Linked DNA regions of Lonchura striata. The protein of the gene in region 1 purifies or fractionates together with the protein of each later gene. This does not show direct contact. Links are inferred from orthologs where the notes say so. Each region holds a gene or a part of one and is shown in the gene's direction. Other genes may lie near its edges. The genes, in order: CBX5, EHMT2, SENP7 and ADNP.

Evidence for each region.
Region 2: the proteins of CBX5 (region 1) and EHMT2 purify together in Homo sapiens (affinity purification with mass spectrometry; 3 studies listed by BioGRID and IntAct, with this or other methods). This does not show direct contact. The link is inferred for Lonchura striata from reciprocal best matches to the Homo sapiens genes CBX5 and EHMT2.
Region 3: the proteins of CBX5 (region 1) and SENP7 purify together in Homo sapiens (affinity purification with mass spectrometry; 3 studies listed by BioGRID and IntAct, with this or other methods). This does not show direct contact. The link is inferred for Lonchura striata from reciprocal best matches to the Homo sapiens genes CBX5 and SENP7.
Region 4: the proteins of CBX5 (region 1) and ADNP purify together in Homo sapiens (affinity purification with mass spectrometry; 4 studies listed by BioGRID and IntAct, with this or other methods). This does not show direct contact. The link is inferred for Lonchura striata from reciprocal best matches to the Homo sapiens genes CBX5 and ADNP.

Annotation. Positions count from the first base shown.
Region 1 is NC_134629.1:8,441,666-8,448,949, reverse strand, and holds the start of CBX5 (chromobox protein homolog 5), read left to right. Parts: upstream 1-4,273; 5' UTR 4,274-4,346; intron 4,347-4,466; exon of another isoform or gene 4,467-4,551; intron 4,552-7,196; 5' UTR 7,197-7,211; coding exon 7,212-7,284. Other genes in the region: HNRNPA1 (heterogeneous nuclear ribonucleoprotein A1), read right to left, coding at 10-156, 1,858-1,974, 3,788-3,802. UniProt on the Homo sapiens protein: Component of heterochromatin that recognizes and binds histone H3 tails methylated at 'Lys-9' (H3K9me), leading to epigenetic repression. In contrast, it is excluded from chromatin when 'Tyr-41' of histone H3 is phosphorylated (H3Y41ph).
Region 2 is NC_134631.1:100,630-107,918, forward strand, and holds the start of EHMT2 (histone-lysine N-methyltransferase EHMT2), read left to right. Parts: upstream 1-4,280; coding exon 4,281-4,304; intron 4,305-4,490; coding exon 4,491-4,536; intron 4,537-5,332; coding exon 5,333-5,519; intron 5,520-6,231; coding exon 6,232-6,535; intron 6,536-6,658; coding exon 6,659-6,737; intron 6,738-7,051; coding exon 7,052-7,140; intron 7,141-7,289. UniProt on the Homo sapiens protein: Histone methyltransferase that specifically mono- and dimethylates 'Lys-9' of histone H3 (H3K9me1 and H3K9me2, respectively) in euchromatin.
Region 3 is NC_134604.1:696,189-703,106, reverse strand, and holds the start of SENP7 (sentrin-specific protease 7), read left to right. Parts: upstream 1-3,902; 5' UTR 3,903-4,056; intron 4,057-5,724; 5' UTR 5,725-5,735; coding exon 5,736-5,771; intron 5,772-6,918. Other genes in the region: putative protein ARB2BP, read right to left, coding at 637-1,692, 3,049-3,075. UniProt on the Homo sapiens protein: Protease that acts as a positive regulator of the cGAS-STING pathway by catalyzing desumoylation of CGAS. Desumoylation of CGAS promotes DNA-binding activity of CGAS, subsequent oligomerization and activation.
Region 4 is NC_134619.1:1,236,169-1,243,922, reverse strand, and holds the start of ADNP (activity-dependent neuroprotector homeobox protein), read left to right. Parts: upstream 1-4,742; 5' UTR 4,743-4,795; intron 4,796-5,287; exon of another isoform or gene 5,288-5,427; intron 5,428-5,854; exon of another isoform or gene 5,855-6,037; intron 6,038-7,754.

The DNA of each region.
Region 1 (7,284 bases):
GTCCCTCACCTCTCTGGACACGGCCCGTTTGGGCTCCACCACCCTGCCGTCCACCTTGTGTGGCCGCGCGTTCATGGCGGCGTCCACCTCCTCCACCGACGAGTAGGTGACGAAGCCGAAGCCCCGCGAGCGCTTCGTGTTGGGGTCCCGCATCACCTGGGGACACGGGGACACTGAGGGGACAGACACAGGGACACGAGGACAGACACAGGGACACGGGGACACGGGCAGGGATGTGACAAACCCAAACGCCCACGAGCGTTTTGTGTCTGGGGTCCTGTCTCACCTGGGGACAGGGACACAGGGGACAGGGCAGGGACACACGGGACACACACGCAGGTGACACAGGTGACACACGGATCATACGCAGGGAAAGGGACACACGGGACACACACACAGGTGACACAGGTGACACACGGATCATACGCAGGGAAAGGGACACACGGGACACACACGCAGGTGACACAGGTGAGAACACACACACGCAAAGGGTCACACACAGGTCACACACAGAGAAAGGGACACACATGTGGCACACACAGGTGAGAGGACACATGCAAGTGACAGGTGAAAGGTCACACACGTCACACACAAAGAAATACACAGGTGACACGTGAAGGGTCACACGGAGGTCACGCACACAAAAAGGGACACACAGGTGACACACACAGGTGACACACACAGGTGGCACACACAGGTGAGGGGTCACACACACTCGGGGGGCTGTGGCACCCAGGGGCGCAGTCTGGAGGTGCCAGAGGGTGGCCTGGGTTCAGGGGGTCCCAGGGCTGGTTTTGGGGTCCCAGGGCTGATTTTAAAGGTCCCAGGTCAGTTTTGGTGCCCCAGGGCTGGTTTTGGGGTCCCAGGGCTGATTTTAAAGGTCCCAGGTCGGTTTTGGTGCCCCAGGGCTGGTTTTGGGGTCCCAGGGCTGATTTTAAAGGTCCCAGATCAGTTTTGGTGCCCCAGGGCTGGTTTTGGGGTCCCAGGGCTGATTTTAAAGGTCCCAGGTCAGTTTTGGTGCCCCAGGGTTGGTTTTGGTGCTCCAGGGCTGGTTTTGGGGTCCCAGGGCTGATTTCAGGGACCCCAGGGAGGGATTTGAGGATCCCAGGGCCATTTTTGTCATCCCAGCTCCATTTTTAGGGATCCCATGACGTTTTTAAGGGTCTCAGGGCCATTTTCAGGGATCCCAGGGCTGGTTTTAGGGATCACAGTGCCCTTTTAGTGACCCCAGCTCTACTCCAGGAGATCTCAGTCCCATTTCAGGGACCTCAGCTCCATTTTTGGGGACCCCAGCCCTGTTTTTCCTGCTCTCAGTGCCGTTTCCAGGGCCCCCAGCCCCATTTCAGGGCCCCCAGCCCCATTTCAGAGGCCCCCAGCCCCATTTTCCTGTTCTCAGTGCTGTTTCCAGGGCCCCCAGCACCATTTCAGAGGCCCCCAGCCCCATTTTTTTGCTCTCAGTGCCGTTTCCAGGGCCCCCAGCCCCATTTTCCAGCTCTCAGTGCTGTTTCCAGGGCCCCCAGCCCCATTTCAGGCCCCCAGCCCCATTTCAGACGGCCCCCAGCCCTGTTTTTCCTGCTCTCAGTGCCATTTCCAGGGCCCCCAGCCCCATTTTCCTGCTCTCAGTGCCGTTTCCAGGGCCCCCAGCCCCATTTTCCTGCTCTCAGTGCCGTTTCCAGGGCCCCCAGCCCCATTTCAGGCCCCCAGCCCCATTTCAGACGGCCCCCAGCCCCGTTTTTCCTGCTGTCAGTGCCGTTTCCAGGGCCCGCAGCCCCATTTCAGGGCCCCCAGCCCCGTTTTTCCTGCAGTCAGTGCCGTTTCCAGGGCCCCCAGCCCCATTTCAGGCCCCCTGCCCCTCACCACGCAGTCGGTGAGCGTGCCCCACTGCTCGAAGTGGCTGCGCAGGCTCTCGTCCGTGGTCTCGAAGCTCAGGCCCCCGATGAAAAGCTTCCGGAGCTGCTCCGGCTCCTTCGGGGACTGCGGGGGGACGGGCTCAGGGCACCCCGGAACCCCACGGAGGGGGTGGGAAGCCCAAATACCCCCTAAACACCCCCAAAATCCCCCCTAAAACACCCCCTAAACCTCCCCTAAAACACCCCTTAAAACACTCCCAAATCCCCCCTAAAACTCCCCCTAAAACACCCCCAAAACACCCCTTACAACACCCCAAAAATCCCCCCTAAAACACCCCCTAAACCTTCCCTAAAACACTCCTTAAAACACCCCTTAAAACACCCCAAAAATCCCCCCTAAAACACCCCCAAAACCCCCACACTCAGCTCACAGGGGCCTGACACCCCGAAACCCCCTCACACAGTTCCTGTTGGGGGATGAGGACCCCCAAAACCTCCTCACCCAGCTCTGGGGAGGCTGGGGAACCCCAAAACCCCCTCAAAACCCCCTCACCCAGCTCCCGGGGGGACTGACAACCCAAAATCCCTAATGGGACCCCTCCAGTGCTCCTCACACCCCAAAATCCCTCTTGGGACCCCCGTCCCATCCCAAAATCCCTCCTGAACTCCCCCTCACACCCCAAAATGTCCCCCCAAAGCTCCAGAGAGATCCTGACACCCCCAAATCGCCCCTGGGACCCCAAAAAAACCCAACTGGGACCCTCCCCTCCCAAGCAGCTCCTGACACCCCAAACCCACCCCCAACAAATCCCCCCCCAGCCCCCTGGGGACCCTCCCTGACCTCCCCCATCCCCAATTTTTGGGGCCACCTGAACCTTGAGCATCCCCAGTTCCCATCTGGGGGGGCCACCAGACCCCCAAACCCCCCCAACCCAAATTTCTCAATGTCCCAGGCCCCCAAATCTCTCCCCCAACCTCCATTTTTTGGGCCTACCATCACCCTCACCGCCGCCAGCCCCTATTTCTGACCCCCCACCCCCCCAAACCCCCCAGCTTTCATTTTAAACCCCCCCAAGCCCCCACATCCCCAATTCCAACACCCCCAACCCCAAAATCCCAACTCCAGGCCCCCAAATCTCTCCCTCAACCCCCATTTTTGGGGCCTACCAGCCCCCTCACCGCCCCCAGCCCCTTCAGGGCCCCCAGCCCTATTCCGACCCCCCACCCCCCCAGTTTTAATATTAAACCCCACAAAGGCCCCACACCCCAAATTCCAACACCCCCAACCCCAAATTTTGGGGCCTACCAGCACCCTCAGCCCCCTCAGCGCCCCCAGCCCCTATTCCTGACCCCCCTCCCCTAATTTTGCCCCCCCCAACCCTAAACTCCAACTCCCCCACCCCCCCAGCTTTAATTTCAAGCCCAAATTCCAACACCCCCCCATCCCCTTCTTTCCCCCCCCCGTTATTCCTGAGACCCCCCCCCCCCGTGACACAAAGCGCGCGCACGTGGCCGCGGGAGCGCGCGCGGGGTGAGGGGGGGTCGCGCATGCGCCTGAGGGGGGCGAAATCTGTGGGACCCCCCCCCGAAAATGGACCTTGGGGGGGGGGGGGGAGGGGCTCTGTGGGACCCCCCCCAAAAATGGAACCTGAGGGGGGAGGGGAGGGGAAGGGGGAGGGGAAGGGGGAGGGGAGGGGGGGCTCTGTGTGTGACCCCCCCCACACACAATGGCGCCTGCGCGGCTGAGGGGATGAGGGGGGGGCGCCGCGCGCAGGCGCAGTGAGGTCCCGCGGCCCGCCAGGCGGCGGCGGCGGCGGCGGGGGCGGGGGGGAGGGAACGGGGATGGGTTAAAAAAAAAAACAACAAAAAAAAAAAAAAAAAAAACAAACAACGGGGCGCGCGGATCGGCGGGGAGCGGGGCGGGCGCCGCTGCTGACCTCGGCCTTGGCCATGGCGGCGGCGCGGGGCGGTGGCGGCGGCGCGCGATGCTCCCTCTGCGAGGGCCGACACGGAAAGGGGCCGAGCGCCGCGAGCGCCGCCGCCTCACCCCGCCGCCCCCGCCGCCCGCGCGGCCCCCGCGCCGCCGCCCATTGGCTGCCGCCTCACAACGCCGCCGCCCCATTGGCCGCCTCGCCGCGCTCCGCCCCCCGCGCCGCCGCTGATTGGCTGCGCGCCGAAACGTCCCGCCCCTGCGCCGCGGGGATTGGGGAGAAGCGCTGCCGACACGCCCCGCGTGGCTTTTCCCGCTCCGGCCCGGAGACTCCCCGGCGCGCCGCTGGTTGGTTGGAAAGAAACAGGGCCCGCCCCTCGCCAGGCGCTCATTGGCTGGGAGAGCGGGGGGACGGTGCCCATTGGCGGGCGCGGCCGTCCATCAGCGCCGGCGGCGGCGGGCCCAGCGCAGCTCGGCGAGCGCGGCGCGGCGGGCGCAGAGCGGGGAGGCGGCGGCGACTCCCGGCGGCGGCGGCGAGCAGAGGCCGCCCGCCCGCCGGCCCCAAGGTGCGGCCGCGGCAGCGCATGCGCCCATCGCGGTGGGCTTTGGGGAGAGGGGGGGGAAAAGGCGGGCGGACGCATGCGCGGAGCGCCGCCGGCGGCGCCTGCGCGCTGCGGGCGGTTTTGGCGGGCGGAGCGCGGAGCGGCGGCGGCTCGGAGGGGCGGCCAGACCGCGGCGGACGGGCCCGCGCCGGAGCCGCTCTCCGCGCAGGTAGCGCCGGCGGCGGGCGGCGGATGGACGGGCGGCAGCGCGGGGGCGGGCCCGCCGCCGTGACGGGCAGGCGCGGCGGCCAATGGGTGCGGGCGGGAGGCGGGGCCTCGCGGGGAGTGGCGGGCGCGGTGTTGAATAGCAGCGAGCGGGAGGCGGGGCGGCGAGCCGAGTGACAGGCGCGCTGACCTATAGCGGCGCAGGGCAGGCGGGGCGGCGCTCGGAGTGACGGTTCCGCCGCCCAATAGTCGCGCGGCGGGGCCGCGGCGCGCGGTGGGGCGCGCTGCCAATCAGGGCGCGGCGCGCGGCGGCTCTGACCAATGGCGTGCGGCGGCGCGCTGCTGGCCCCGCCCCCAGGCCCGGCGGCCGGGCCCCTCAGCTCGGGGCGCTCCGAGCCCAAATCTGCGGCTTTTCACCCCAAAACCGCGGCCTGGGCCCTCGGGGCGTCGCGCCCCGCCCCGCAGCGGCGGCTTTCCCCTCACAGCCGCGGCCTCGGCCCCGGCCAGGCGCTCCCGGGCCTCCGCGTGCCGCCCTCCCTTTGTTCCCGCAGCATTCCCGGGCGCGGATTTTCCCAAAATTGGCCTTTTCCCACCCAAAGCGGCGCCTTCTCCCTCAGGAGCCCGCCCGGAACCCCGCCGGGAGCCCGGCAGGAAATTCCGGCCGGGAGCGAGGGATTCCCCTCGGGCTGTGTGTAAAGGGAGAAATCCGCTCAAATCCTGCCCTAAGGGGGGAGAAAAAACAGATTTGAGGGCTTTTAAAGCGTCTTTTTTTTTTTTTTTCTTTTTTTTAATCTTGATTTTTAAGGGGTTTAGCCCAAATTCCATTTCTCTGCTCCCAAATCCCCCTTCAGTTTTTGGGGATTTATTCCAAATTCCGTTTCGCTCTGCCTGAATTCTCTGGGTTTTGCGTTGTTTTTTTTTTTAGGAGATTTTAGCCCAAATCACGTTTCTTTGTGCCTAAATCCCCGCTGGGTTTTTAGGAATCAGCCCCTCCTGTGCCTCCCCCTTGGGGTCTCACTTTGAGGATCCTGAGGTGACCCCAGATCCCTCTTGGGGATCCCAAAATTACCCCAGATCCCTTTTGGGGATCCCAAAATTACCCCAGATCCCTTTTGGGCGTCCCTAAATTATCCCAAATCCCTCTTGGGGATCCCAAAATTACCCCAAATTTCTTTTGGGGTCCCAAAGGAACCCCAAATCACTCTTGGGGATCCCAAAATAATTTAAATCCCTCTTGGGGATTACCCCAAATCCCTTTTGTGGGACCCAAAATTATCCCAAATCCCTCTTGGGGATCCCGAAATGACCTCAGATCCCTCTTGGGGCTCCCAAAATGATCCCAAATCCCTTTTGTGGGATCCAAAATGATCCCAGATCCCTCTTAGGGATCCCAAAATTACCCCAAATCCCTTTTGGGGATCCCCAGGATGTCCCGAAATCCCTCCTGGGGATCCCCAGGTGTCCCCAAATCTGGTGACATTCCTATCCGTGCCCCCAGAGCAGTGGCAGGAGGGGCCCTGTGTGACATTCCCTGACCCATGGTGACAATCCCTGTGCCCTGGTGACATCCCTGTCCCTGTCCCCAGAGCGGTGGCTGCGCTATGGGCAGGAGGAGCAGGGCAGTGCCACGTCCCACGGTGACATTCCCTGACCCATGGTGACACTCTCTGACCCATGGTGACACTCCTGTCCCTGTCCCTGTCCCCAGAGCGGTGGCTGCGCCATGGGCAGGAGGAGCAGGGCAGTGCCACGTCCCATGGTGACATTCCCTGACCCATGGTGACACTGTCCCTGTCCCCAGAGCGGTGGCTGCGCCATGGGCAGGAGGAGCCGCCGGAGCAGTGCCACGTCCCATGGTGACACTCATGGTGACACTGTCCCTGTCCCCAGAGCGGTGGCTGCGCTATGGGCAGGAGGAGCAGGGCAGTGTCACGTCCCACGGTGACATTCCCTGAGCCACGGTGACACTCCTGTCACTGTCCCTGTCCCTGTCCCCAGAGCGGTGGCTGCGCCATGGGCAGGAGGAGCTGCCGGAGCAGTGCCACGTCCCATGGTGACATTCCCTGACCCATGGTGACACTCATGGTGACACTGTCCCTGTCCCCAGAGCGGTGGCTGCGCTATGGGCAGGAGGAGCAGGGCAGTGCCACGTCCCACGGTGACATTCCCTGACCCATGGTGACACTCCTGTCACTGTCCCTGTCCCTGTCCCCAGAGCGGTGGCTGCGCTATGGGCAGGAGGAGCTGCCGGAGCAGTGCCACGTCCCATGGTGACATTCCCTGAGCCATGGTGACACTCATGGTGACACTGTCCCCTGTCCCTGTCCCCAGAGCGGTGGCTGTGCCATGGGCAGGAGGAGCAGGGCAGTGCCACGTCCCATGGTGACATTCCCTGAGCCATGGTGACACTCCTGTCACTGTCCCTGTCCCTGTCCCCAGAGCGGTGGCTGTGCCATGGGCAGGAGGAGCAGGGCAGTGCCACGTCCCATGGTGACATTCCCTGAGCCATGGTGACACTCCTGTCACTGTCCCTGTCCCCAGAGCGGTGGCTGCGCCATGGGCAGGAGGAGCAGGGCAGTGCCACGTCCCACGGTGACATTCCCTGAGCCACGGTGACACTCCTGTCACTGTCCCTGTCCCTGTCCCCAGAGCGGTGGCTGCGCTATGGGCAGGAGGAGCCGCCGGGCCGCCGACAGCTCGTCCTCGGGGGAGGAGGAGGAGTATGTGGTGGAGAAGG
Region 2 (7,289 bases), on another chromosome or scaffold:
GTCTCTCCCAGTCCCTCCCAGTCCGTCCCAGTCCCCATAACTTGGCTCCCAGTCACTCCCAGTTCACTCTCAGTCTCTCCCAGTACCTCCCAGTGCCCATAACTTCCCCCCCAGTCCCCCCCAGTCCCCCCAGTCCACTCCCAGTCCCTCCCAGTCCCGCCAGCCCCCCAGCCCCGCCGGCGCCATGTCGTCGTGCGCCGAGGTGCTCCGTTTCCAGCTGCCGGGCCACGAGGCGGCGGCGCTGCGCTCGATGACGCGGCTGCGGGCGGAGGAGCGCTTCTGTGACGTCACCATCGTGGCGCGCAGCCTGCGCTTCCGCGGCCACCGCGTCATCCTGGCCGCCTGCTCGCCCTTCCTGCGCGACCAGTTCCTGCTGAACCCGGCGGCCGAGCTGCGCGTCTCGCTGGCCCACAGCGCCCGCGTGCTGGCCGACCTGCTGCTCTCCTGCTACACGGGCGCGCTGGAGTTTGCCGGCCCGCGACCTCGTCAACTACCTGACGGCCGCCAGCTACCTGCAGATGGAGCACGTGGTGGAGCGCTGCCGCGGCGCGCTGGCGCGCTTCATCCAGCCCGCGCCCGCCGCGCCCGCGCCGCCGCCCAAGCCCGAGGAGGACGAGGACGAGGAGGACGAGGAGGACGCGGCGGGCGACGTCTGCATCGTCAAGGTGGAGCCGGCCACGCGGCGCCGCGGGCGCAGGTGGCCGGCGGTGACGGGCGGCGAGGCGGCGCAGAGCGGCGCGGCGGCGGCGGCGGACGGCGGCGCGGCGCGGCTCGGCGTGGTCAAGGCGTGTTACAGCCTGGCCGAGGACGCCGAGGGGGAAGGTTTGGTCATCTTCCCCGGCGGCGGCGGCCGCGGGCGGCGCGGGCGGCGCCGAGGAACCGCCGGGCGGGCACGCCGGCGCCTCGGCGAGCGCCGCGGCCTCCGCGGCGGCACCGGCGGCACCGGCGGCGCCGGCGGCGGCGTCGCGGTGCGGGAAGTGCGGGGAGAGCTTCCAGGGCGTGGAGAAGCTGGTGTTTCACATGCGGGCGCAGCACTTCGTCTTCATGTGCCCGCGCTGCGGCAAGCAGTTCAACCACAGCAGCAACCTGAACCGGCACATGAACGTGCACCGCGGCGTCAAGTCGCACGGCTGCGGCGTCTGCGGCAAGAGCTTCACGCAGAAATCCACCCTGCACGACCACCTGAACCTGCACAGCGGCGCCCGGCCCTACCGCTGCTCCTACTGCGACGTGCGCTTCGCCCACAAGCCGGCCATCCGCCGGCACCTCAAGGAGCAGCACGGCAAAACCACGGCGCAGAACGTTCTGGAAGCCGGCGGCGCCGAGGGAGGGGTGCTGCTGCGGTGACGCGGGGCGGGGGAGGGCCCGGCGGGGTGGGGGGCGGGGGGCGGGGGGGGTTTGGGGGGTGCTGGGTCCTCTCCCGGGTGAGGAAGGGGGGAGGGGTGGGGGGAGGGGCGGTGAGGGGTGGGGGATGTGCAGGGAGTGACCGCTGCGGTGGTGGGAGTGACCACGGAGTGACCACTGAAGTGGTGGGGAGTGACCCCCCCAAAGTGGAGCAGAGTGACCCCAAAGTGGTGAAAAGTGACCCCAAAGTGGAGCAGAGTGACCCCAGAGTGGAGCAGAGTGACCCCAAAGTGGTGCAGAGTGACCCCAGAGTGGTGGGGAGTGACCACTGGACACTGGATCCCTGCTGGACACTGAGGGAGTGACCGCTGGGGTGGTGGGAAGGAAGTGGGAGTGACCACAGAGTGACCACCGAAGTGGTGGGGAGTGACCCCAAAGTGGTGCAGAGTGACCCAAAGTGATGAAAAGTGACCCCAAAGTGGTGAAAAGTGACCCCAAAGTGGTGCAGAGTGACCCCAAAGTGGTGCAGAGTGACCCCAGAGTGGTGGGGAGTGACCACTGGACACTGGATCCCTGCTGGACACTGAGGGAGTGACCACTGGGGTGGTGGCAAGGAGGCCACAGTGGTCAGGAATGACCCCAAAGTGACCCCAGAGTGGTGGGGAGTGACCACTGGACATTTGATCCCTGCTGGACACTGAGCTGGTGACCGCTGGGGTGGTGGCAAGGAGGTCAGAGTGACCATGGAGTGACCACCAAAGTGGTGGGGAGTGACCCCCAAAGTGACCCCAGAGTGGTTGGGATTGACCACCGGACACCTGGACCCTGCTGGACATTGAGAGTGACCACCGGGGTGACGGTGGCGACCTCAGAGTGACCCCCAAAGTGACCCCCAAAGTGACCCCTGGACATGTGGACACCGTGACCCCGAGTGGGTGACCCCCGGGGTGATGGCAACGAGCCCAGAGTGACCAGAGTGACCACGGAGTGACCAGAGAGTGACCAGAGAGTGATCACAGAGTGACCAGAGTGACCACGGAGTGACCAGAGAGTGACCAGAGAGTGATCACAGAGTGAGCAGAGTGACCACGGAGTGACCAGAGAGTGACCAGAGAGTGATCACAGAGTGACCAGAGTAACCATGGAGTGACCAGAGAGTGACCAGAGAGTGATCACAGAGTGAGCAGAGTGACCACAGAGTGACCAGAGAGTGACCACAGAGTGACCATGGAGTGACCACGGAGTGACCCCTGGACACCCAAATCCTTCCTGGAACAAAGTGGGGAGACCCAAAATGGGGAGGAACAATGACAAAATCAGGGAAATGACCCCAAAATGAGGAGGAATGACCCCAAAATGGGGAGAAAGGACCCCAAAATATGGGGAAAGAACCCAAAATGGTGAGGAAGAGCCCCTGGGTGACAAATTTTGGGGTTCCTGGGCCACCTGAGTGACAAATTTTGGGGTCCCCATTGAAAATCCAGCTGGAAAAAACAGGGAAAAAACCCAAAACCGGCAAAATTTTGGGGATTTTGGGCAAAATGAGCTGAATAAGGCTGATTTTTTTGGGGGCATCCCCCCAAATTTGGCCTCTCTGGGTAAATTCCGGGGCTCTCAAGGTCTCGGGGGATTTTTGGGGGGTCCCCCTTGATGTTTTAGGGATTCCTCCCAGATTTTTGGGGACTCCCCTGATTTTTTTGGGGATTCCCCCAGATTTTTTGGGGGGTTTTGTAGATTTTAGGATTTGGGGACCCCCTTAGGTTGTAGTGAGGGGTGGGGGAGGGGAAGTTTTTGGGGGTGGGGGAGGGATTTGGGGTGGGGGAGGTGACCCCAAAATTGGGGTTTTTTGGCGGGGGGTTTAGGGGGTAGAAAGGAGAATTTTGGGTCCCTTTTGGGGGATTTTGGGGGGGGGGGTGAGACCCGTTTTGGGGTGGGGGAGGGGCGTGGGACCCCTCCCCCAACCCCGGAGGTTTTTTTTGAATTTTTTTTTTTTTGTAATAAATGGATTTTGAAAAAAATTTTAAAAATGGGTTTTTAGTTGTTTTTTGGGATTTGTTCATTTATTTTTGGGGAATTCATTTTTTGTGGGGGTTTCTTTATTTAATTTTGGGATGTATTAATTTATTTGCAATTTATTTTGGGGGAATTACTAATTTTTGTAGGAGTTATTTATTTTTTAGGGTTTTTTTTCTTTTGCATTTATTTTTTGGGATTCATTTTGGGAAGATTTATGAATTTAATTTTTTTGGATTTATAAATTTGTATGGGACTTACTTTGGGGAATTTATTTTTTGGCATTTATTAATTTTTAGAGATTGGTTAATTTTTGGGATTTATTAATTTTTAAGGATTAATGACTTTGACATTTGATTAATTTTTAAAATTTAGTTGTTTTTGGAGGATTTTTTCCATTTTTGGGCATTCATTAATACAACTTTGGGGGTTTATTAATTTATTTGGGATTTATACATTTTTGGGGGGGTTTATTATATTTTAGAATGTACTAGTTTTTGGGGATTGGTTAGCTTTTATTGATTCATTAAATTTCTGGGATTTTTTTGGGCAATTTCTGAATTTTTATGAGTTTTTCACTTTTTCGAATTCATTAATTTTTGTCCTTTCCTCATTTTCGCGGATTTATTCGTTTTCAGCGCCATTTTTTGAGCCCTTTCGGGACAATTTGGGGGGTCCCGAACCACCAGGACCCCCCAAAATTCACATGGGCGTGGCCTAAACACAAAGAGGCGTGGCTTAAGGCAGTGGGCGTGGCTTAAAACGAGGGGAGTGGCTTGGCTCGGTGGGCGTGGCTCACAGCGAGGGGGCGTGGCTTCGCTCGGTAGGCGTGGCCAATCCGGCAACACAAAGCCCGCGCGGTGGGCGTGGCTTCGCCCATAAAAGGCGCTACGCGCTGCGTGCTGACGTCACCGCGCGCGGCGATGGAGGCGGCGGGAGGCGCCGAGGTCTGAGGGGAGGCCGAGCCGGGGCCGCTCTTTGGGGCGTTTTCGGGCGGTTTGGGGTTTTTTTTGGGGGGTTTTGAGAGGTTTTGGGCATTCGGGCGGTGGCTGTGAGCGGGGGGAGGGGCGGGGTCCGCTGGGGGGAGGGGCGCGCCCCTCACGGCGCTCTCTGCCCCTCCCCCTCCCCCTCAGGACCCTCCCGGCGGGACCCTCGTGGTGGAGGCGGCGGGAGAGGCCGGTGAGTGACCCCCCCCAAATTCTTATTCGCACTTTGGTCTCCACTGAGACCCCCCTGAGATCCCCCTCAGATCTGCCTCAGGATCCCCAAAATTCCAATCAGGATCCCAAAATTCCAATCAGGATCCCCAAAATCTCCTCAGGATCCCCAAAATTCCAATCAGGATCCCAAAATTCCAATCAGGATCCCCAAAATCCCCTCAGGGTCCCTCAAAATCCTCTCAGGATCCCCCAAAATCCCCTCAGGACCCCCCAAAATCCCCTCAGGATCCCCAAAATCCCCTTAGGGCCCCCCAAAATCCCCTCAGGTTCCCCAAAATTCCCCTCAGGATCCCCAAAATCCCCTCAGGATCCCCAAAATCCCCCTCAGGATCCCCAAAATCCCCTCAGGACCCCCCAAAATCCCCTCAGGATCCCCAAAATCCCCTTAGGACCCCCCAAAATCCCCTCAGGATCCCCAAATTCCCCTCAGGATCCCCAAAATCCCCTCAGGATCCCCAAAATCCCCCTCAGGATCCCCAAAATCCCCTCAGGACCCCCCAAAATCCCCTCAGGACCCCCCCAAATCCCCTCAGGATCCCCAAAATCCCCTTAGGACCCCCCAAAATCCCCTCAGGATCCCCAAAATCCCCTCAGGATCCCCAAAATTCCCCTCAGGACCCCCCAAAATCCCCCTCAGGACCCCCCAAAATCCCCCTCAAGACCCCCCGAAATCCCCTCATGACCCCCCGAAATTCCGCCCAGACCCCCCCAAAATGCCCCAAACCCCCCCTGACCCCCCTTTTCTCCCCCCCCAGGGCTCCCCCCGGGCAGCCCCTCCCCCTGTGACCCTCCCCCCCCCGGCGGGACCCCCCCCACAGCCGGGGGGGCCCCCCCGGACGAGGAGGGGCCGGGGGGGGGCGGCCCCAGCGATGGGGAGGGGGCGCAGGGGACCCCCCCCGGGGGCGGCAGCGGCTCCAAGGGGCTGCCAGGTGAGGAGGGGGCGTCTGGGGGGGATTTTGGGGGGGCTGGGGGGATCTGGGGTGGGTTTTGGGGGGTCTGGGATGGGTTTTGGGCGAGTCTGGGGCAGTTTTGGGGGGTCTGGGGCAGTTTTGGGGGGTCTGGGATGGGTTTTGGGGGAACTGGGATGGGTTTTGGGGGGTCTGGGGTGGGTTTTGGGGGGTCTGGGGTGCGTTTTGGGTGGTCTGGGGCAGTTTTGGGGGGTGTCTGGGGATTTTGGGGGTCTGGGGCAGTTTTGGGGGGTGTCTGGGGATTTTGGGTGGTCTGGGGGCGCTTTGAGGAGGTTCTGGTGGGGTCTGGCAGGATCTTGGGGACCTGGGGTTTTTTGGGGGATCTAGGGGGGTTTGGGGGTTTTTGGGGAGGGTCTGGGGGGTTTGAGGGGGTCTGGGATGGATTTTGGGGGGTCTGGGGCAATTTTGGGGTGGGTCTGGGGATTCTTGGGGGGATTTGGGGGGTTTGGGGGTGCTTTGGGGGGTTTGAGGGGGGTCTGGGATGGATTTGGGGGGATCTGGGAGGATTTTGGGGGGGTTGGTGACATTTTGGGGGGGGTCTTCATGGCTTCTGGGGTGTCTGGAGGAGATTTTGGGGGGATCTGTTAAATTTTGTGGTGGGGGGAAATCAAATTTGGTTTTTAAATCAACCTGGGGCTGTCTCTGAGCTATTTTTGGGGGGGGTCTCCCCTTTTTCTTGCCCTCAGGCCACGCCACCAAGACCCTGCCGGGCTCCCCGATTTTGGGGGGCGATTTTGGGGGTTCTCCTCCCACCCCCTGCCCCCCCCCAGCCGTGCCAAAATGTCCCTGACGGGGGCGGGGGGCGGCAAAACCCCCCCGGGCCAAAGCCTGGCCCTGCGCCTGCTCAGCCTGCCGGGCTCGGGGGGTCCCGGGGGTCGCCCCCCACCCCGGAGCCCCCCCAGAACCCCCCGGAGCCCCCCCCAGAACCCCCCCGAGCCCCCCAAAATTCACCGAGCTCGCAAAACCATGGCCAAGCCCAGCAACGGACAGGTACGGGCTGGCTCTGGGGGGGTTCTGGGCAGGGGGTGTCAGGGGTTTGGGGGGGTCTGGGGGGTCTGGGGGTTTTGGGGGACCCCCGCTGAGGGTTTGGGGGTGTTTTTTGCCCCCCTCCAGGTGCCCGAGAAGCCGAGGATGTCGGAGATGCTGCACTTCAGGGTGTCCGAGGAGCTCTGCGGGATGGGGCAGCACCACGGTCTGGGGGGGTTTGGGGGAATTTGGGGGGGTCCTGGAGGGGATTTGGGGGGTCTTGAGGAGGTTTGGGGAGTCCTTGCGGGGTTTGAGGGGTGTTGGGGAGGTCCTGGGTGGGTTTGGGGGGTCCTGGGGAGTCCTGGAGGGGTTTGGGAGTGTCCTGGGGAGGTTTTGGGGGGTCTTGGGGAGGTTTGGGGGGTGTTGGGGGATCCTGGGGGGTTTGGGGTGGTTCTGGAAGGGTCTGGGGGTTCAGATTTGGATCTGGGGGTTCAGATTTGAGTCTGGGGTCTCCCTGACCCTCTCTCTTTGCCCCCCCAGACACCCCCAAACGCCCCAAGCTGGATTTTGGCTCCGAGGGGCTCCACAAGCGGCTGCAGCAGCGCCCCAGCCCCCGCGCCAGCACCGAGGTACCCAAAAATCCCCCAAAATCCCCCAAATCCCCCCAAAATCACCCCCAGGGACCCTGCAGCGCCCCAGCCCCTGCACCAGCACCGAGGTACCCAAAACCCCCCAAAATCCCCCCAAAACCACCCCAAAAACCATCCAGGACCCCCGC
Region 3 (6,918 bases), on another chromosome or scaffold:
TGCAGGTTGCCAGACTAGTGTATCTCTGCAGCAGATCATGTCCAGTATTCTCACAGGCTCAGTGGGCTTTAAAATGGAAATTATTTTACTTGCATGTGCCCCTTTGGGGCACACCAACTCCGACTGGCGGGAATGTAGTAGTGTTTACTTCCCTGAAGCATTGTTCAGCTTAACAGTAAGTGTTTCAAGGAGGAAAGTAGATGTTCCAGCTCTTGGAAGATTTCAAACAGTACATGTTACATAGGAGCAAAGATTGGTTACACGTTTTGCTATTCCAGACTTGGCCTTCTAATGAAACTAAGCACTTAAGCAAATGTTTTCCTGATAGTTTAGTCTGATTATAGAGCCAAAACTATAGAATGTTTATTATAGAAAATGATAGATGAGAGCTTGTATACCTTTAAATCCTTAATTCAACTTTAAATTTCACAGCTAGCCAAAGGGTTGTGGCTTAAGGCTTTTAACAAGGCATATATTTCCTAATAGTTAGTGTTTTTCTTCTCAAAACCAAACATAGTTTCAAACTCAGAACACTGTGAATTTCTCCACAGTGAGATGAAGGTGCTTAAGTGATGGAAAGGAGCAGAAGCACTTATGAAAGGTAGAGACCACTATCAAGAACAAACCAGTGTACCTTTATTTATTGCCTGTCTTCTTTCTTGTGCTGCTTCTAGTTGCAGCGGGTGAATTCCTCAAGGCTGTTGCAATCTTGGCTTTCAGCATGGTTTTCAGGTACTTAAAGATGGATTGTAAGCAGCAGGAGGGTGCTAAACTATACTTTTCTGTTCCAGCAGAGAAAGTAGGACAATTTGCTCTCATGAGAAAGCGCACAGTTTTATTTAGGGGTTTACTGTTAGACGCCCATTCTTGGCAGTTTTTGTGTATCCATTCTTGTATTTCTGGATCGTGTCTGCTCTGGTGCTGCACGTTGTGCGTGGAGTCAATGAATGCCACACAATACACTTTATTCATCACCTCACATTTCCTCTGCACCAGCAGATCAACAAACACCAACCCCCCATAGCCATGGGCAATGAAGGCCACGTTCCTGGCTGCACTCTTTGCAATGAAATGATCCCATACATACACGGTATGCTCTTCAGGGCTGCTGCTGCCCCTTTTGGGGATCCAACAGGCAGACTGTGTAAAAGTAAGCGCTTCTTTCCTGGCAGCAAACCTCTTCTTTTCAGCGTTCAGATCAGTGAAATTGTCATTGGGGTTCAGTACAATCACTTCCCAGTGGTTTTGCAGGGCCATTTTGATGAATGGCATTTGTGTTCCATGTTTCAGGCCCTCACTGACAATTGCCCTTCGCCCCCACTGTCCAGCACAAAAAACTCCACGGTCTTGAAGAAGGATAATCAGGCTAGAGGAACTTGTTAGTGCATCCTTGCTCATGAAAAAGAAGCTTCTTGGCTCATCCTCTGTAGCATCAGTAGGAATGTAAACCTTGTGCAGCATGCAGACTCTTTCCAGGAGCTCATAAACATACTGAGTAATAAAATGTCCCAGAACTTCATAGCGTTTATGATTCTGCTCATGTTCATTCTTGTAGTAATTGAAAACAAAGGACTCGTTTGTATCCAGATGCCTCAGTTCCCCTTTTATATTGAAGTCGTAATTTAGTTCCTCTTGATACTCTGAACCCTCTGTTAGTTTCCTCAAACTGAGTTCACCTTGTATTTGTAACCACTACAAATTAAGAAGACTATTATGTCAAAGTAGTGATAGACCACCTGTCTACCCACCCTACCCCCATTAGAATTTAGATTTAAAAGCTGTTACAAATTAAATACTTGTTAATCCAGAGTATTTAATGGTGATGTATAGCAAACTAGCTGCTTCTAAAGCCCCTTAGAGATGTCAATTGTGAAGTTCCAACAGCAGTAACTCCTCTGCCTTTATTTCAGTTTGGTAGTTAAAAATTTCTAAGTAGCATGTTTATTTAAAGATCCGTTTAAGGTAGTTTGAATTAAAGACTTTAAGAAGGAGGCACATGTACATGGTTCACTGTTCACTTGAACAACTTTTATTGTGCTGTCTCCTAGCCATTATCTTGGAACTCCACTGAGTTTCAAGGCCACCTTTGAAATACAAGCCTAGGCAGTTGGAAATAGTCCAAGTGTCATAACTGGATCCCGAGTTTTTAAAGAAAATAAGCTGTGCTTACTAAGGACTTCAACCTTCCCATTGCTTGTGTACCAGCATACTCTCCATGTTCTTCTACCTTCAACTGCACTAGAACAGATATGTACATACATGTATGTGTTTGCTTTGTCTAATCTCTCTAGTTCGTCATTCATCCTTGCAAGCACTTGCCACATGGAAATAGAGGAATGGATGACAAAATAAACTAGCCACTGTGATCCAGGAGCAGGGAAAAAGAAAGTCCAGGCAGCAAACTATCAGGAGGTTGGACTGAGGTCTCCAATTTCAGATCATCTCTAATGATTGATATTAATTATACCAGAAAGTGATTTTTGTGCAGCTGAAAAATTAAGATTAGCAGAACCTTCTGTTTTCTGAGTGATTCCTCAATCTACTACTGACTGTCACTAGCTGTAGAACTGCAAATAAGGTATAACCTTTGGTATGGCCAGTATCCTACCTTTACAGGAGTTTAGTCCTAATGCAGTAATTTATTTTTTTCCTGTAAATTGTCTGAATCAAGTTATATTTGGCAAGTTAGACTGTATACCTTTTAAGTTTTTCTTGCTGTAATTCTGCATTCTAAATCAGCATTGATAGCTGTTTGTACTTCACTGTCTATATATAAATGCAATATTCAAGGCTGTATATGCTGGCAGCTGGTAGCAATTGCTACCTTATTTTTGAAAATTTGCTTTTGGGGGAAACATAATCCCTCTTTCCCTTCCTCCCACTTTTCTATTCAGAGCCTAAAATGCTTCAGATGTATATTCACCTGGTGCTTGTTGCAGCATTTGGCATATTCTAAACACTACTGCAGTATGAGTACTATGTAAGATCCATAAAGATTACTTTGTTTTCCATTTAAAACCATCTCATTCTAGTAAAGCCCAATATTACCGTATCTTCTTCTGTAAAATCTGTCATCATCATAAATGGAAATCTTCTTCACTCTGGGAGTGTAGACAAGTTCTCTGCATGAAAAAAATAAACCCGATCATGGTTTTAATTTTCATTACTTTATGTACTGGGGCGTGTACCTACAAAACCTGTCAGTAGCTGGTAGTTCGTGGCTACCTAAAGCGCTCCAGATAGTTCCAAGTTACAAACTCACCTCTCTCGTTTGTAATTCACACCTGACAGTAAACTAAGGCTAAACCTCGAGTATGAAACTCAACATTTGCCCACACCAGTTTTAATTCCCACGACTAAGAAGAAAACAAAGCTGAAAGCGGCACACAAAACTTACAATTCTGAAGCTGTCCTGAGGGGAAAAAAAAAACAAAAACAAAAAAAAAAAAAAAAAAAAAAAACCAAAAAAAAACAAAAAAAAAAACCCAAAAAAACCAACAGCCACCAATTCTCGTCTCCCCTTAGCCGCATAGGGTTTCTAAGGCCGGCCGGGCAATGAGGGCGCTCCGGGACGGGCCTGGCTGTCCGCCGGGCAAGCGGCATCAGCAGGGCACGGTTCAAACCTGGGCCGGGCCCGGTTCAAACCTGGGCCGGGCACGGTTCAAACCTGGGCCGGGCACGGTTCAAACCTGGGCCGGGCACGGGTCAAACCTGGGCCGGGCACGGTTCAAACCTGGGCCGGGCACGGTTCAAACCTGGGCCGGGCACGGTTCAAACCTGGGCCGGGCCCGGTTCAAACCTGGGCCGGGCACGGGTCAAACCTGGGCCGGGCACGGTTCAAACCTGGGCCGGGCCCGGCTCACGGCTGCTTCCTGCCGAGCACGGCGGTTCCGCCGCTTCTTCGCTGCCTCTCAGCCACTCGGCCCGGCACCGAGCGCGCCCCGAGCGGGTTAAAGCTCGGAGGCCCGAGGGGCGGCGCCCGGCCCGGAAGTGCCGGGGGAAGCTGCGCGGCGGCCCGGTACGGCCCGGTACGGCCCGGTACGGCAAACAGCTCCGGTACGGCCCGGTAAACAGCTCGGGGGTGCGGTGAGTGCTTGTGCCGGCCCCGGCCCGGTACACAGCTCCGGGGTGCGGTGAGTGCTTGTGCCGGTACACGGCTCCGGTACACGGCTCCGGTACGGCCCGGTAAACAGCTCTGGGGTGCGGTGAGTGCTTGTGCCGGTACACGGCTCCGGTACACAGCTCGGGGTGCGGTGAGTGCTTGTGCCGGCCCCGGCCCGGTACGCGGCTCCGGCGGTGCGGTGCGTGTTGGTGCTACCGCCGGGTACGCGGCTCCGGCGGTGAGTGCCGGCTCCGGTACCGGCTCCGGTACACGGCTCCGGTACCGGCTCCGGCACACGGCTCCGGTACCGGCTCCGGCACACGGCTCCGGCACACGGCTCCGGTACCGGCTCCGGTACCGGCTCCGGTACACGGCTCCGGTACCGGCTCCGGTACACGGCTCCGGTACCGGCTCCGGCACACGGCTCCGGTACCGGCTCCGGCACACGGCTCCGGTACACGGCTCCGGTACACGGCTCCGGTACACGGCTCCGGTACACGGCTGTGCTTTTTTATTCCTTTTCACGCTCTAGTGAGACAGAGTGAAAATTTACCAGGGTAGAAATCCATTTGGATTTAAGTGAAATGTGCCACTTTGAGCTTGCTAACATAAGTGAAATACGCTGTTTAGTCTAGTAACTACAGCACTAGCAAAACTACCCCAGCTAAGGAGAAAGAATGCAAATTTCTACACTAAAAGATAAGAGATAAGAAAGACTCCTCAGACCTTGAAACAGACAGCGCAGTGACCCAGGAGTTCTTTCTGTACTTTCTGACAAAAACTGAATACAAGTGTAACTAGCTGTAAGTGTGACTTGAAATTAGCAGAATGAATATGCGTGAACCTATTGTGAAATTCTATGCATATGGAAATTAATAAGGGTAATAAAAAAGGATCGGGAGTTCTCAGAGGTGCACATGTCCATTGAAGGGCAATGAGTCCCCACATGGTCCAGCGCTGTGAATAAACAAACAACCCATTCCATATAAATCTTTATTGGAATTGTGGGGTTTGATTTTTCATCTGCGTTTCACTAGTTTAAGTGTGAACTGCTTATTAGTTGTGTGCTTACAGCAAGGAGTTAATCAGTAAATATCTTAGCTAAGGATAAATTCTAGGACAATTTCATTAACAATTTAGTCTGTGCTGACAATCCAGAGCCTTGCCCAGGTGTGTGTCTATCTTGTATTGTGGCTGTCAATTACTTTTTACCAAGGCCTGTAGTGATGGGGCAAGAGGGGATGGTTATAAATTGAAAGAGGGTAGGTGTAGACTGGACACGAGGAAGAAGTATTTTTTTACAATGAGAATAGTGAGACTGGAACAGGTTGCCCAGAGAAGCAGTGGATGCCCCATCCCTGGGAGTGTTCAAAGTCAGGTTGAATAGTTTTAAGCAAAGTTGAAAGATGTCCCTGCCCATGACAGGATGGCTGAACTATAATATAAAATCTTTTAAACTCCCTATCCAACCCAAGCCATGTTATGATGTTGTTCTTTTGTTCTAGATTGCTCAAAAATTTTCTTATTCTTTCTTAGTGCTTGCTGCTGTGGTTCTACTTCCCTCTTAATAAACTAGAAATTCTTAAATTTCTTTTTTTTTTCTCTTTGTATTTTTTTTCCAGTAGAGAAAACCATGTCAGGACGAACATCAACCTCAAGTCATGTCAGTGTAAGTGTTCCTGAAATTGTCAACATTTTATTTTGAGGCTGTAGGTATCCTAGGGTGTTCTAATTAATTCTTCACTTTGTTGGAACATGCTTTCTTGACAAACTGTTTATTGTGGTAGCAGTCAATACTAATGTCTACTGTTGTACACTTATTAATACGTTATAGGCTTAGCATTTGATTAGGTATAAACAGGGTATTTTCAAAGTTATTTTAAGACCTAGGAATTTTAGAGTAATTTTAAGTAAATAGAAAACAGCTGCAAAACTGTGTAAAACTTTATCTGCAGAGCTGTACTCAGAGGCTTCTTATGCTAGTGTGTGTTTTTTCCTAAAATATCCCTATTAGAAGCAGTTTCTAGCAGTGGGAGTACTGGTGAGAACAGATGGTGGACAAAGGAACTGGTGTGATTGGGTGAGGTCCAGGGGACATAGTGGTTTAAAAATTAGCTTTTTTAATTTCCAGCACTGTGTTTATGCACTTTCTCTGGCCCTTGCTTCTACAGGTGGGAACCTTCAGGAAAGTATTGCTGCTTTAGATGAGTCTGCTGAGTGCCTACGCACATGTATGTGTAGAGTTAGTCACTTTTTATTTGGGAAAAGCTGAGGCAACTGCATACCTTGTGTTTAGCATAGATTCAGACCTCTCTTTGCCTGTTGACTTTGTGCTTGCTCTGTAAGTTAGTTGTGGGTGCTGTAAACCAGCGTCTTCTTAATGAGTGCAAGCATTGGGAAGATGCTGTGTGGTGAGCTGGAAATGTTGCTGGTTTATGTATGTTGTGCTTTTTATCCCTTTCTGTCAGTTGTCTCTTCTTTTTACTGAGTCTGACTTTATCTGTACTTAATGTTGTCTGTTATGTCATTACAGAGGTTATCAGAACCTCTTTAATTTTAAATGCATGTTAAAATTCTAGATAATTGTATGTTCTTTGGACTGTCAAAACATAAGCTGCTAGTCAGGCAGCAGGTGGAGGTCTGAAGTAAGAGATCTGTTCCTAGCCATTACAGTGCAGATCAGAAATAGGCATTCTGACTGATGTGTTTATAGGCCACTTCTAAAACAAAACCAACCAAACAAATTGGAAACAATTTACTTGTAGAAGTTCTTGAATAAAAAAAATGTTGTTTCAATCCTTCTGTGTTGATAGAAG
Region 4 (7,754 bases), on another chromosome or scaffold:
CTGCTCTCTTTGGTGAGGATTTTTCTGCTCTGAGGTTCAGGGGAGTTGGCTTCTCTTTTGCTTTGGGTTTTTGACAAAATCTGAGACTTTAACCTCAGCCTGCAACAAAGATGAACCTCGCTGCCAATATAAACACTCTAATCAAACAGATCTTCCAGTGGACTGTGCAGAAATCCAACTGCAAGGCTCCACAACCTTCTGCACATCAACAGTAAAAAATAATGATGACTAATCAATAATATTTATTCGAGGGTCTATCAGTACAAGCCTGGATTGGAATCTTGGCAGAAATGAATTCAGTGACAGATTGCCTGCTGAGTTCAGTGCAGGGATGACTTCAGCCACACATTTCAGTGGCTGGCATTCCAGAGCTCAGGCAAATGCTGATACCAGGAGCAGCAGGAGCAGGGGGTGTGCAGGGGACAGGACTGCTCATCAAACTCTTCCTTGCTTTAGAACTTGTTTATTACCTCCCCTGTGCCATGCTGCAGGAGACATGGGCAAAGAAAGAAACTAGTGCCAAGCACAGCAACTTTGAGCATCATCTCCTCCTCTGTTCCTGCCATGTTGTACCCCTCTCTCCAGGCATTGTGGCAATTAAAAACTTTCTTATAGACTGGTTGTCACTGTTCAGGGGAAAATATATTGGAACCAGAGAGAGAAAAATTAATTACACCGTTTAATCCAAAACTAGATCTGAAAACTTAGCCATTGAGAGGGATTTCAACAAAGCAGACAGCATAAAATGGGAAGTTATTCCTGCAAGGTGGTGGCACTGGCTGTTCAACAGAAACTGGCACCAATGCTGGCAGGTGTCTGATCAGCACAGGAGCTGGGTGGCTTAGTGGGTCTTAAAGATCATTGTGAGACCAGTGGTCCTAATGCTGATTAACTTACTTGTATTTATTATATAATTAATTATGTTGTGTGTAAAAGCATCAATAGTCATCTTAATTATTTTGTATTTGAATAAAACCCAAGCATGACACTGAGCTAGTAGTAGGATGAATCTGGGCACAGTTTTGACCTGAAGCAGCAGCACAACGCATGTGCAATTAAAGCTATTCAGCTTGGGAGTGCTAATTGCCTCCCCTCTGGTGTGAAGTGTTTCGTCTCTTACAATGCAGTGATTTTACTGATTTTTCCAGTGGCTGTATTGTTAGAAACAATACCCACTTCTGCAATAGAAAAAGTAGATTAAGACTATTAGCATCAACTTCTGTTTCATTTTGTTCACTCTGTACACACAGGAGAAAAATGATGTCAAAACTCCTTTTCTCCTTCTTCTGCACTGCTTGAATTTTAGCTTTACTATCAATCTTTCCACACAAACTTTGTAAATTCTCATCTTTCTTCCCCAAATCCCTGTTGACAGCTGTCACACTTCAAACCACCACAAGAACCCTCCTGAGCTGAATGAGAACAAGATCTTGTCCATCACTCATGACTGCTTTCACACCCTCTCATCCTTCCCCCATTTTCTCAGCCCTGTCACTGTAGATTTTACCCCGAGGCAGGCAGTGGCTCCCTTCTGCTCCAGCTTCTGCTGCCACATCTCCTTTCCCTCCCTTTCTCTCCCCTACCCTAAAATCAGAGGGGTGCCTGCAGCACCCCTCTGATGCACTGAATATTTCTGCCTCCTGACACTCTCCTTTCTATCTGGGTCTAATTTCATCCCCTCCCATGCCAAATTCCAGTTTCTACACTCTTCACAAATGTTTTTCCACACTGTAATCATGGACTGAGTACCAACATCATGGCTGGGAGTGTTCCCAGCTGAAACTCCTTGATATTACTGCTCTGGGGAAACTCTATCCACCTCTATTTCCATCCCAACCTTATCTTACCTTGTCTTCTGGTAAGTACATACAGCAAGACACAAATTTACTCAGATACCTTCACTTGCTCCCAGAATTCAGGGCAGGGAATGATGCCCAACAGCCTGTTCAGCTCTCCTGTCTGAATTGCAGGTCTCTGTGTTTGAGCTGTTGTGTCCTTTGCACAGATCTTTGTGTTGTGCTCACTCCTGTAAATATCTCTCAAATATCATTTCTATCTCCAGCTGCATTATCACATCCCACTTACACTCGGTTCCTCCAACCTTCAGACACTTCTGCTTACTCAAATCCAGCCCTTAGAGCAGGTCTGTGGGTTGTTCTTCTGGAGCTGGTGTATTTTTTATCTTAAGTGATGGCTAAAAAGTGGCCAGTGGTAAGGCACAAATTAAATAGTGTTCGTATAGGAAGGTGCTCAGGTGTGGGGCTGTGTATTTTAGGCAGGAGCAGACTGGCTCAAGCAGCCATGAAGTTAATTGAGAGTTTCTGAGTATGGTCCTGCCTTAGTGACGTTTCAGAATGTTCCCCAACATGCTTCAATAACATGCTTCAACAATTGTGCCATCAGAGAAAAATAATCGACTCTTGGAAGGCAAAATGATGTTATTATAGGAAAACCAAACCAGCTCTTTTTGCTTTCCTTCCTTGAGACAGATTCCACACAAGTCTCAGGGAACTCTCAAAGTACCTCAGTTCTAGGGGCTCTTTAACACCAAAGCACTAGCTTTGGTTTCCAAGTTTTGTGTATTTCCTGGGTTTTTAATTTACATTTCCATGTAAAAAGATTTTGTGACTTCCCGACTTCTTATGACCACTGATGTGAAGATGCCATGGGAGCAGCCAGTGAAACCCAGGTTGACTTGCAGCCACAAGCAGGGGATTTCTATGTCCCACTGAGTCAGAAAGTCTCAAAGCAGCCTCAGAGACAGAACAAAACATCACTAAATTCTTCATAAACGCTACTTCAGTGAATTGTGATAAACAGCATGTACAGATTGTCAGGACACCAGTCACCTGTAAATGCAGGAGATCCTTAAGTTACATGAAGTCTAAAGAACTGGTGACAACTTTGCTTCTGCACTTCAAGCAAGGAGTCAAATTTCCTTTCTAGCATTGTGAGCTTAAACTCCAACGTGTCACTGAACCAGAAAGGGTGTGAACACTGAGGATGGAGGGAATTACACTTTACTTCCTCCTCCAAGTGTTTGTGTCTTTCTGAAGTAACAAAAGCCATCCATTCCTGTCACTCCTAGAAGGGTTTTTAGAAATCATCCTCATTTGTTAAAGAGACCTTGAACAGCGTCAGGATCCACAAGGAAGACTCACATGTGGGCTCTTGTCCTGATCCAACATTCCTGCTGCAAATGGGATGTCCAGGGGCATCCACAGGTGTGTGTGACCACACGTGCACAGGGCTCACCAGAAAGATCACAGTCCCGCCTTTGGGCGCTGGCTCGTTCTCAGGGTGTTAACCCAAAGTCTGAAGGGACATGGAGGGATTCCTGGGGTTGTCCTGTGCAGGACCAGGAGCTGGACTCAACAGTCCTGGTGAGCGCCTTCCAGCTCAGCATATCCTATGGTTCTGTGATGAATTTGGATTTCAGAGCATGTAGAGCACATAGCTCGTGTCGCCTCACGGTGCCACCGTCCCAGCCCATGGCAACTTTGCCAAAGGGTGTCCCAGTGAGGCTGCCCTGGCCGAGCTGCGATGGGCACAACCCCAGAGCCAGTCCAGCTGGCAGGGACACAGTGGCTCAGCCGGTGCCACCTCCCTGCTCCAGCAGGGCCACCCCAGAGCCCGTGGCACAGGCCTGTGTCCAGACTGCTCTGCAATCAGACCCCAGAGCCTCTCTGGCCTCTGCTCAGGGCTGGCACTGCCCAGGGCAGTTCTGCCTCCTGGGCAGGGGAACTGCTGGGCTCAGGCCCTGCCCTGGCTCTGGTGCCACGGCTGGGCCCCGGAGCAGAGCCCGGGCCTGCTCTGCCCTCCGGCACCCGGGGACAGCCAGGGCGGAGCCCCCTCTCACTGGGGCTCGCGTCCAGGCTGGGCACCCCCAGCTCGCTCGGCCTTTCCTGGGCACGGAGACGCTCCAGGCCCTTCAGCATCCTCGCAGCCCCGGGCAGATGGACACGGCAGGACCACCGGACACCGGGGCCGGGCCGGTCGCCGCCCTGAGGCGCCGCCGCCGCACGAGCCCCGCGCGCGCTCCCGGGGCCGCCCCGCGGTCACGTGCGCGTCCCCGCGCTCGCGGGCCCCGCCCCGCTCGCGCCCCCGCCCCGGCGGCGGCGGCGGCGGCCCCTCAGGACGGGATGTAGTCCCGGCCGGGGGCGCGGCGGAGGGATCCCCGCGCCGGACCCAGGCGCAGGGCGCGGCGCCTCCTAGCGGGGCCGGGGTAGATCCCGCCGCCGCCGCTGCCGCCGCCGCCTCCGCCGCCATGGCCGCGGCCGGCCCGGTGCGCCCCGCGGGGGCCCCCCAGGGGCGGGGTCGCGTCCCCGCCCGGTGCGGCGGGCGCGGCGGGGCCGGTCCCGCGGGGACCCCCGGGGCTCCCCCGCCCCCCCCCCCCGGGGCGCGGCCCCCTCCCCTCCCGCCGGACAATGAGTCCCGTATGCTAATGAGGGTCTGGCGTCACTTCCGCTCTTTCTCGGCCGCCATCTTGGCCCGGGCAGGCTGTGGGCAGCGGGACCCGGCTGTATTGTCTGAGGGGCCCGGGCGCTGCCCCCGCCCGCGCCCCCGCCCCGGCCACCCGGCCCAGTCACCGCCGCCCCCGCCCCCGGGGCCGCTCCGCACCGCCCGCCCCGCACACTGCACCCCCTCCCCCGTCATCTCCCCCTTTGTCTCCCCCGCGCCGCCGGCGGCTCCGCTCCGCCCGCCCGCCCCGGGACCGGGCGGCGCCGGGGAGGGTCCGGCGCCCCCCCGCCCCCCCCGCCCCAGCCCGCCCTCGCTGCGAGGAGAGCCCGCTCAGGTAGGTGCGAGCGCGGGTCCGCGGTGCGACCCGGGCGGGGACAGCGCCCGACCGCCCCCTCCCTCCTTCCCTCCCTCCCGCGGGCATCCCGCGCCGTGCCCGCCGCCCTGCCCGCCGCACCGGGCGTGCGGAGCTGGCAGCGGCCCCTCCCCGCCCGCACACACGTTGAGGAGCCCCGGCGGTGCGGGCACCGCGGCGCTGCTCCCTGCCCGCCGCCGGCCCCGGCCGCCTCCCTTCCCCGCACGGACGCGTCCCGGCAGCCCGAGGGAGCGGGACCGCCAGCCGCCGGCCGCGTCCGGCATCCCTGGGTGCAGCTGCACCGGGCCCCGGCGGCGGAGTTGGTGCTGGAGCGGCGCCGGGGATGCGATGAATGGGAGCAGCCGAGGGGTCCCTGCCCGCGGGAAAAGGCGGGACCCGCCGCTGCCATCCCGAGGCGCAGCTGCGGCACGGAGCGCCGTTACCTCACCCATCCGTGCCCCGGGCTACGCTTACCGACACCCGTTTGCGAGACAAAGGCGGGGGACGCCAAACTCGGAGCTTCGCGGCCGCACCGGGCAGATGCCCCCGTGCCACGCACCCCCTTCCCGGGCGGCTGCGGCCCGGGCGGGGGCTCCGAAGCAAGTGGCAGTGCGTGCGCGGTGCCGGGGTGCCGGCGCACCCCCGGTGCCCCGGCAGCGGCCGCGGGCGTGACGCCGCGGCCCCCCCGAACCGGAGCGCGCCCGGCGGGGCGCTGCGCGGCGGCAGCCGGCAGGGGGCGCCCTGCGCGCCGGGCCCGCCGCGGCGGGGGAGGGGAGCGCTCCGGGGGCACCGGGGCGCGGGCCGGGCTCGGGGCTGGCCCGGCTCTGCGCACGTGGCCGCAGCCCCCGGGAGCGGCGAGCCTCGACCGCGGGGCACAGCCCCGTCACCGCTGGTCTTGGTGGTCCTTGTTCCTTGGGTGTGTTCAAGCCGTTTTGTAGGTGTCAAAGAGGTTTGCGTCCTCTCCTTTTCATTAAGTTAAGGGTTTTTTCCCTAGCTATGTTTCTGTTTATTTTTGCTGGTATTTCCTGTTTCTGTCTGGAGGTGTGAGGTAACGGAGACAGAGGATTCCCGCCCGTCAGGGTAGCGTGGACCGACCTTAGCTGGCTGCTGTGCAGCTCAGCCTTGTGTGCCTCAGCAGTGCTCCCTCCTGCAGGGTCTCCTACTCGGGAAAACTTTCACTTCAGGACTCTGCAAACTCATAATCACAAGCTGTCATCCCTCTAGGTGAGAAAGATGGATCAGTCTGCTTAAGAAACAGAAAAGCCTTTTTTTCCTGCTTTTAGTAACAAACCAAACCAAAGCTTGGTTCCTTTGCAGATGTGCAGTTGCAGATGTTGGGCAGTAATTTGATATCAGCAGATGGACATTACCATGATATGTGCTGAAATCTTAAAAGAGACAACAGACCAGAAACACCCTGTTGTTAAGAGAATTGCACCAGATGCTGATGGGTTGTAACATAATGGTTACCTTTTCTGAAGACTGTCACAGCAAATACTTCCAATTTCAGTCTAAATAGAGATGTCCTTTTTGACACACAACAAATAATTTGTTCTCCAAAATTGATACCAAGCTGGATGGTTTTGCACTATTTTTGGTGGTTAGCTGCCCTTTGCTCAAATTAGCATTATTTCTTAGTTAGCATTCAAGAGTGACTTTTTGGTATCCAGCAGACATGAGATGCTCCCAGGGGATGTCTCTGAGATCATTGAAAACTGATACCGTTTTAGTGCCCCATTACTAAAACTAATTTTTTTTTGTTTTGAATTGAAGTCCATCAGGCAGGTTTGTAGGAGGCATCTCTTTAGGTTACCACTATTTATGCTTCAGGGTGTATTGTCATGAAGAGCCTGCGGTTCACTTGTGTTGGGCTGTGGGAGGTAGGTGCTGTTGGATGTGCAGGGGAAGGTGAAAGGCTCCTCCTTTGCCTGTAGGTGAGACAGACCCAGTGCCACACTTGGGAGTGAAAAGCCTTCACAGGAGAGGAAGACCGAAGAGGAACTCCTGACTGTCTTGGAAAGTTCATGCCCTGCAGTGTTAAGCACCAGCTGCACAAACACAGCGCCCAGGAAGGTGTTTGTGCTCCTCAGGCTGAGAGGAGGAACGTGATGGATTTTCTGTGTGTAGGGCAGAAGGTACCAGTGGTCAGAAGTGCTTGCTGACACTGACACAGAGGTCCCTGTCCTTGCCACAGCGTGTGGGTTAAGTGTAAACTCTCACTTAACTCTTACTTAACTCTCACTTGGTGGTGCTGCCCAGATCCCTGCGCTGTTCTGAGCACCGTGAGCTGTAGGGAAATGCAGGACACGTCTTCTGGGGCAGCTGGGTTGTGCTGCTCACACGCTGCAGGTGAATAATGGCTCATTAGTCCCAGCTCAGCTTTGCCACTCTGTAATAACATAAATACTGAAAGTAAACATTGAAGTTTACAGTGGAATTCCTGGAATACAGAAACATACCAGGATCTTATCAGTAGTCATAAGTTATATGGTCTGAGTGTATATTTTATAGCTTGTTATTAAGACAGCAGCTGATTTGATTGATGCAAAGAAAGAAGTTGAAACAAGTGATTTTATGAAAGAAAAGATGGTGCTCCTGGGTTAATGTGTTTGTTTTAAGGTAGCTGCAAATAACATTTAGCAACTTAATAGGAGATGTGTTGGGTGCTTTTTGTGGGGTTTTATCTCCAGAAAGGGAAAGTCATCTTTGCTCTACTACTTGAGATGTTTAAGGGAAACAAAATTCTGCTGGGAATGACCAAAGCAGTATCAGACCTGAGAAGGACCAGTTTAAAGACTGTAGGAGAGGTGCCAGGAGAGGCAGGGAACAGCTCTGGGGCTGAGCTGCCCACTGTGTTGTTTCACAGGTGCCATTGGAGCTGCTCTACCTGCATGGGCAAAATGGACACATTTTTAAAAGTCATTAGTGCAGCTGAGTTTGT